Linked DNA regions of Mytilus edulis. The protein of the gene in region 2 interacts with the protein of the main gene of each other region in a biochemical or structural test. Links are inferred from orthologs where the notes say so. Each region holds a gene or a part of one and is shown on either strand. Other genes may lie near its edges. The genes, in order: ribosome maturation protein SBDS-like and elongation factor-like GTPase 1.

Region 1 (3,938 bases), on a different chromosome or scaffold from region 2:
TACTTGCTAGCATCATCTTGTATTGACTCAGTGTATTGAATGAAATTTCCAAACAGATATGATAATAAATAATTCATTCATTCATTTATCATTTATCATGTTTATATATCTGATACAGAAACATTCTGTCCAACATAAAATGTCAGTTATAAAAAAGACCTAAACCTGTAATTCTTTAAACATTAAAGCACCCTTAACATGCAAAACATGTTTAATGAGGGTTAATGTACAAATGATGTAGTATTGGGGATACCTTTATAACTATAAATCGGTTAACATTCTTGCAAATTATTGATTACAGTACTAGTTATTGTTTGTGCATGACGATAAAATGACACTCTCTTTAAAATTAAAAAAACAACAAATTTTGACAAATCATGTTATTTTTTTGAAGAATAAACGTAACATCAATTATTTGAGACCTCTGAAGAATCACGATAAGGACATTTTGACGAATCATAGTTCAATTTTAACCATTTTAACACTTAATAGGACTGTTATCGCCTGATGGTAATGGGCATTCTTACCCTCTTCAGACTTCAAATCAAAATATTCTTATTCTAATGACTGAACAAATGTGTGTTATAATTGTTTTAAAAATGTTAAATGATTTTGAGCATGCATGCCAGTTCACCCGCACTTGTTTCCAGTCATTGGTTAAGGCTCCCTCCTTCTATCTTCTCATGAAACAAGTGCCTGTGAAATATACAAGTGTAGTGACTGTAAACTGTACCTAAAAATAATTTATACCTGTATCAACTCATGAATAGATACTGGAGGTGTATTGTTGTTGTTGTTTGTCATTGTCAATCCACCATTATCGAAAAAATATAAACAAGATCCTTAACGAAATATGTGTTACATGTATCTCCTACATAGTTACATCTTTATCCTCAGCAACTTTTAATCCCTGATTCATCAACTGTCAATCATTTTCATTTGCGCACCTGCAGAGGAACTCTTTTGCGTTGAAATCACAAACGGTACAAAAAACAATAACTTCCGGTATTGCTGACAAGCATGTAAATGCTCATATTTGGCAATTTTTGGAAAAAGTTTAGTTCTTCGACGTGTCTTGACAGTTGCAATTAAAATCTTTGATCAGTCAAATTTCTAGATTGGAGAATGGCTGTTTTTCAGCCGACAGGACAGAAAAGATTGACCAATGTTGCAGTGGTGCGGATGAAAAAGGGAGGAAAAAGATTTGAAATAGCATGTTATCCAAACAAAGTATTGTCATGGAGAAATAAAGTGTAAGGCTTAATTTTGAATAGTCATTTGATAGAAATCTGTGATTGATTTTAATTACTTATAAAAAATTACAACCCCCCCCCCCCCCTTTTTATACTTCAGCTACCCATCCATGTCCAGTGCTCAATATTTAAACATGAATCCATGATAACTTTCCCAACTATCAAAAGCCCCAGTCCAATTTGCCCAAAATTTTTACCAGCTCGCCCCTCTTTCTAATAACCATACTAACTCGCCCCTCTCTCATGAAGAACTATAGTCCGAGATTATTTTGGGTGGGCAAATATCCACTTTTTCATATGGGACGAGCCCTGACGTCCCACGGCCCCAGCTTGTCTGGCAAAACAGCGGTTGGACGTCAGAGTAATCTCGGACTAATGAAGAACATGTACAAACCAATTCGCCCCACGTATGAATGTAGTAATGCCCTTTGACGAGGGTCTAATTGGGGTCTAAGAGTGACGTGGGATTACTGAATTTTTGTAAGCATGACATGGGAAAGTCAAATTATTGTGCCGTGAAAAAAAGTCTAGTGGGATATGGGAAATCACAAAACAAATAAAAATTTCTTACGTACATACTGTAGTGTAAGCGGGATATGGAAATCTTACAAAACAGTAAGCGGGATCAGGGATCAGAACCCCCCAATGAGACCCACTTTGATGTCAGGCGTCAAATGATCATTATCGGCTACTGTTCAGTCAGGGGACTTACTGAAATAAGTAGCAAATTCGAGGTTTTGTCACAAATTGGGATTTTGTAGTTTTTTCAAAATTTTAAACATATAGGTTTAAATAACATCTTTTAATTAGTAAAATTAAAAAATATGAACTTTTTGCTTCTTTTAAGTAGCAAGGTTTATGCCTTTGATGCTATCATTTACCTGAAAATTCTATTTTAGTTAAAAAATGCTATAATAATGGCTTTACATAATGAACTGATACTTTCTTAAAAGATTTTTCACAGCAGTGGGAGTATTTTTCCTGTGAAGTTCAAGGTTTCATCTTTCAGATTATGTAATAAAATTCTACTGTTCGCGATAAAAATTTCACTGTTCGGGGGTGTTGAAATTAGTGGGGAATATTAAAAGAATGATACTTAAAGAAGTGATTTTTGGGAAGGAAATTGAAGTCTGCTACTTAAACAAGTGATTTTTATGTCATTATCCTAGATTCAGTACAAGGTCATCACCTGAAATGACCTGGTCATCCTAGACAACACAGATGTTGGTTCTGATAAGTTTAGAAACATATTAAATTAGCCCCTGGATCATTAGTATTCTATATTTAAAGCAACACTAATATTAAATCACTTCTTCTAGTGATTAATTTGTACTACTTTTAAAAATAGGTGATTATTAAAGAAAGACAACTCTAACTTCCAACCTTTATGGAAATAATGTTACTTGAATCAGTGATTTAGAAAATCACTTGTTTAAGTAAGTCCCCTGACTGCTGTTTGCGTCATATATTGGTTAAAATTTTATTGTGATTAGTCAAAATATTTTTATCATGATTCATCAGAGGTCTCAAATATTGATATAAATATTGTTACTGTCATTTTTGGTGGATTTTTTATTGTTTATAAGAAAGTGTACATTTACATGAGCATGATGAGGCATAAAAAATTAACATGATTAACGTTAACGTTCTTCAGTGAAATTTTTTACTGTAATCAACCTGAAGGTACATTGTACCTCCATCATTTTTTGTCCATGAATACCCTCACTTATGAAATATAGTTAAACTCCAATTATTTTAGGCCTACACAAATGTATCAGCTGGCCCCAATACTGAAAAGTAGTTGAATTCTGATGAATGAACATGATGAAGGTCTGCCAACTGGCCCCATTTGAAAATATCTATATGCATCTCAAGTATATAAACATGGCTTGTATAAGTATTACCCCTAACTGTCAGATGTGGTTGTAATTCACACATGGCAATGCATATTTTTTTTGCCTACTTAGAAATATGCAATTAAAAATAATAAATATATCATCACCAAAATATATATATACATAATACATATATTTCAATTTCAGTGAAACAGACATTGATGAAGTTTTACAGACCCATACAGTGTTCACTAATGTTTCTAAAGGAGAAGTTGCTAAGTCTGATATACTGAAGAAAGCTTTCAGTAATGATAACCAACCAGAAATATGCCTACAGGTACTTATTGTAGATATAGCCAATTTCCAATACACCTTTCTTATTAACCTTCATCAGAAATGCTTAAACAAAAAAAAAACATAATATTTAAAAGCAGAGACTAAACAGGAATTATTTGTACCTCTTAGACATTATGTTATGCTCTAGGTCATTTGTAGGTCAAAAGTTATAGTAAGTTCAAATTGTTATGAACATGTATACTTAATTTCAAAAGATGTGACCATGACTGCATTGTAAACTATCTTTAACCAAAACTTGACCTTTCAATGCAATGAACTAATACATCATTATTACATTTCTTGTTTGGTGAACTGCAAAATTTAGAAAAATCCCTGATTTTTCTTTTGCTGAAATAATGTGCTACCTCAAATAAGCTTCAAATTATAAACACTGAAATACAATTGGAATGACATATTTGGAATACATTTGTAGTTTGGACATGGGGAATATATATGACAAAGAGACAACAACCTGACAAAAGCGCAGAAAACAGCTAAAGGCCACCAATGGGTT
Region 2 (3,938 bases):
AACGCAGTTGTCTGAGGAGATGACGCCCGTATGCATGAGAATTTGTGAACAAAAATTGTATGCATGATACAATCAAAAATAAAACAAAAAGATAATTCATCTTTCAAATAGTTCTCAGACAGAGTAAATTCTGACAACAAAATGACTGCACATTTATTAAAACTTCAGAATGAAGTTTTTTGTTTGTATTTAACGATATATTTTAAGACAAAGGTCCATTTTTGCCCGACTGACGATGTGAACTTTTGTCATCACTTTGTTTCCTTCATCGGTAAACTCTTCTTCAAAAATATTTTCGTCTGAAATTTCACAACGCGGATTGAAACCAAGGTTAAGCTGCTTCATCTTTATGATATCAGATATAAACTGTCTGATTTGCATCCAAATTATATTGAACAACTGATGGCCACTCTGGAAAACGCATACATCTAAGTGTTTTGGTTTTATGTCTTGTATATTTTAGAACATAGCGAAAATCCCTAACTGGGTAGGAATTTTCATCAAGACAAGTATTATGTACCTTGAACATTGAAAAAAAAATGTGTAGACCCATTTTGAGAAATTGCTTGATTTAGTTTTCTGAACTTTTTTGCAGTTCTTTAATTGCTACATCGGTATCTCGAAAGATATAGTAGCTAGTTTAAAAGTGTGAATTGCGAATTGCGAAAATCACCAGTTAAACAGGCTCTTTTTACCAGTACAATCATCGAAAGAAAAGGATCACCATAATCCGTTAAACTATAATTATCTTGAACATTATAGGAGTAAGATTAATGGTATACATTGCAAACATTCTCAGCATAACTTTTTACATATTTAATACCAATGAAATATCGATTTTAACTGTGTTTTAGTTTTGCATTTTTGTGTGAACGTTTCAAACTCTCGAATCTATAACAGAAAAGTTAAAGGTGTACAATAAAGGCAACAGTAGTATATCGGAATTCAAAATTCATAAATTGATTGAGAGAAAACAAATCCGCGTTACAAACTAAAACCACTCATATGGCAATGTTAAAAAAATTAACTACGTGACATAAAGCACAAACACACGTAAGAACACTCATTACAGAAACAGAAAACAGTCTCAATGTTATAAAATAACATAATAGTCGACACAACATGCAAACCGCAGAACAACCAATGCAAAATCTTCTATCAACGCCAGACACCACATGACGTCATAAACAGTAACGTAACGAACATGCAATCTCGAACTTTATACAACTATTTTCACAAAACCATTTCGAACAATTTTCATCACAGGGATCGTATTTTTTTGTTATACTAGTAGTTATTTAGACTAAAAACGATAAGAAATAACGCATTATCCAACGGGTAAAGATGAACATAACAAAAAATCAGTGTGTGCAATTTTAGGTAAGACTTTCATTTTGTTTTCACCATATGAGCATATTGTTTTAATCCACGTTTGATTCGTATAGACAACCAGCAAGTTGCACAATGAACTGAACAAATGCATTTGGACCAATTGTTTTTAAAAACACAGTAATTTTAATTTGCGCCTATTTAAAAGGAGACACCAAAGGAAATGTCTTAAAATAAGCTGTTTCCGTCTAAGAAATCTGGTAGAGTTTCCCCTGTGTAAGTCAGTGAGTACATACTCATTTCTCATACGAAACTGAAAGTAACATAAAGACATAACTCATCTCATGATTTAGTGGTCTCAACGGGGTTTTTTTTTCGGATACAATCAGCGACATTCAACTGCTATGGTATGTATTTAGTTGGTATTAAGACTAATAGCATGCGCGTATGTTCGTCTCAAAGTTTTTATGGGTGTTGGCGTTTGTTTTTGTTGCACTTCGGTGATCCTGTTGTTCCTTTGTTTTCCTCTTATAGTTGGTGGGTTTCTCTCGGGTTTTTTTTCGTAGTTCATTCCTATTGTATCAATTTCTAAGATACTATAATCAATGGGTCAGCCACATAACATATAAAATGATTATGATTTGTTCATGGCTGGCAAGAAAGTTTCATTTGACCTTGAATTTGTTTTCTCTGATCACCGATGTGTAAAATGATGTCTGTAGTGCGACATTTGCCATAAAGAAACTTCATCATCATCAGTTAAGAAATCGGTACAATCTTTGTAGAATGTTATCCAATGTACATTCAATTCTCTAACCTCCAATATTGATCACACCATATGAGGATTTTAGTCATACATTTTTCGAAAAAAATATAGTAAAAATAAAAACTCTGAGGAAAATTCTAAACGGAAAGTCCCTACTCAAATGGCAAAGTTCACATATATAGTTTGGTATCCAGCACATAGATACAAAATAACTTTTTTTTACTTGTGTGCAATTTGTAATTATCATGTATGGCCTTTTCATATAGGTTAATATGCTTGGTTTTTTTATTGTGTGTGTAGTGGACAACTAGTAACTAGAATCCAAGCAGTCATCAATGTCATGAATTATATCAGCTGAAACTGAGACCCATCTATAAGGTTTTTCTGAGTTCATTGCTCAATGCAATGGCAAAAGGTAAACTTTATTGAGTATGCATAATGATTTTAAGGCCCATGTACATGTTGGTTTGCCACAATTCGCTGAAATTGACCTAATGTGCATTGTAGGTTTGTTCAAAGAAAGGTTTCATCATAATGTCCATTTCTCAGATACTATTATTAGTAGGCTAGCAATGTTTCTGACATGGTTCATTTGACCTTGATGGCTTGACCTCCATTGATCAACGGTTTTTTTATAATTGTGTAGGGTTTAGTTCATTTAATATAAGCAAAAGGTTAGCTATATTAAGTATTGCAATATCTTCTGAATTGTTGACATCTCTCTTCAGCTCTTGATTCTCTGAAACCCTGAACAAATTGAATGAGTACATGTCTGTTTGACAAGGTTCATCTGATTATGGCCATGGTTTCATAGTCCATTGGTCATCCTATTGTTAATAGTATATGAGAAACAGACCAAGCTATAGAAAGTAAACACTGCCCAATAAACTGCTGATGAATTGATATCCTTGTCTTGTGGTGCAGATGAGACAACAATTACTAGCAACTAGGATCAACTAGGCAGAGCTAAGGTCTAGATGTAAATGTCACTGACTTTCTGCATTAGTTATCCCACATAAATGGGTTCAAGCAGCTGTTTAAAGGGTGATTATTCTAAAAATATAATTTCAAAATGGGAGTTTCCTACAATATACAGATGTTCTATGTAAAAACTAGAAAGTTCATTGATCTTAAAGGAACAAAAACAGCAGTGCATTTTTTTAAGAGTTTAATATCTACATATGATATATATACTGACATTTTATTTGTAAAGGATCATAAAATCAATAGGTTGTAAAAATACATAGGTGTTAATTAAAATTAATCTAGACAGATTGTTAATAAAAAAAATATACAAATGCTTTATCTTGTAAAATTATCACAAAAATAATATATAAATATTATCTAAAAATAATATAGCGAATGACTTAGAAAAAGCAGCTTGTATGTAAAAAAATGCAGCAATAATCATTTTGAAATTCAGGAATGTTTTTGTAATAATCTTAAAATATATCACTATCTCGAATTGATGTCATCTTTTTTGCTAAATGCAACAACTTGAACATGAGGAATGTTTATAAGATCAACAAACCACAAAAATAAACTTTTTCACAGCAGAACTTAGCAGGTGAAGATGTGGTATTAAATGCATCATGTTAAATGACTTATTAAACTCTTTTTGTTTCTTAAAAAAAAACTTATAATGAAAAGATATCATAGCACTTAAATACTTATGAGCTTAAATGAAATTGGTGATACTTTAAAATTCTAACATTTTATACTCATAGAAAATTTTATATTCTTTAATTTTCAATTCAAGTTATCAGCATCAATTATTTGTAAAAAATGGTTTAATGATTATCCCAGTGATAAATTTCTGAGATAATTTCATTGTTTTCCTCAT

What was found.
Region 1: the proteins of elongation factor-like GTPase 1 (region 2) and ribosome maturation protein SBDS-like interact in a biophysical measurement, tested with the Homo sapiens proteins (2 studies listed by BioGRID and IntAct, with this or other methods). The link is inferred for Mytilus edulis from reciprocal best matches to the Homo sapiens genes EFL1 and SBDS.

What each region holds. Positions count from the first base shown.
Region 1 is NC_092349.1:35,117,379-35,121,316, forward strand, and holds the start of ribosome maturation protein SBDS-like, read left to right. Parts: upstream 1-977; 5' UTR 978-1,125; coding exon 1,126-1,253; intron 1,254-3,295; coding exon 3,296-3,425; intron 3,426-3,938. Other genes in the region: clathrin heavy chain 1-like, read right to left, coding at 751-804. UniProt on the Homo sapiens protein: Required for the assembly of mature ribosomes and ribosome biogenesis.
Region 2 is NC_092347.1:10,356,480-10,360,417, forward strand, and holds the start of elongation factor-like GTPase 1, read left to right. Parts: upstream 1-1,431; 5' UTR 1,432-1,736; intron 1,737-3,246; exon of another isoform or gene 3,247-3,938. UniProt on the Homo sapiens protein: GTPase involved in the biogenesis of the 60S ribosomal subunit and translational activation of ribosomes.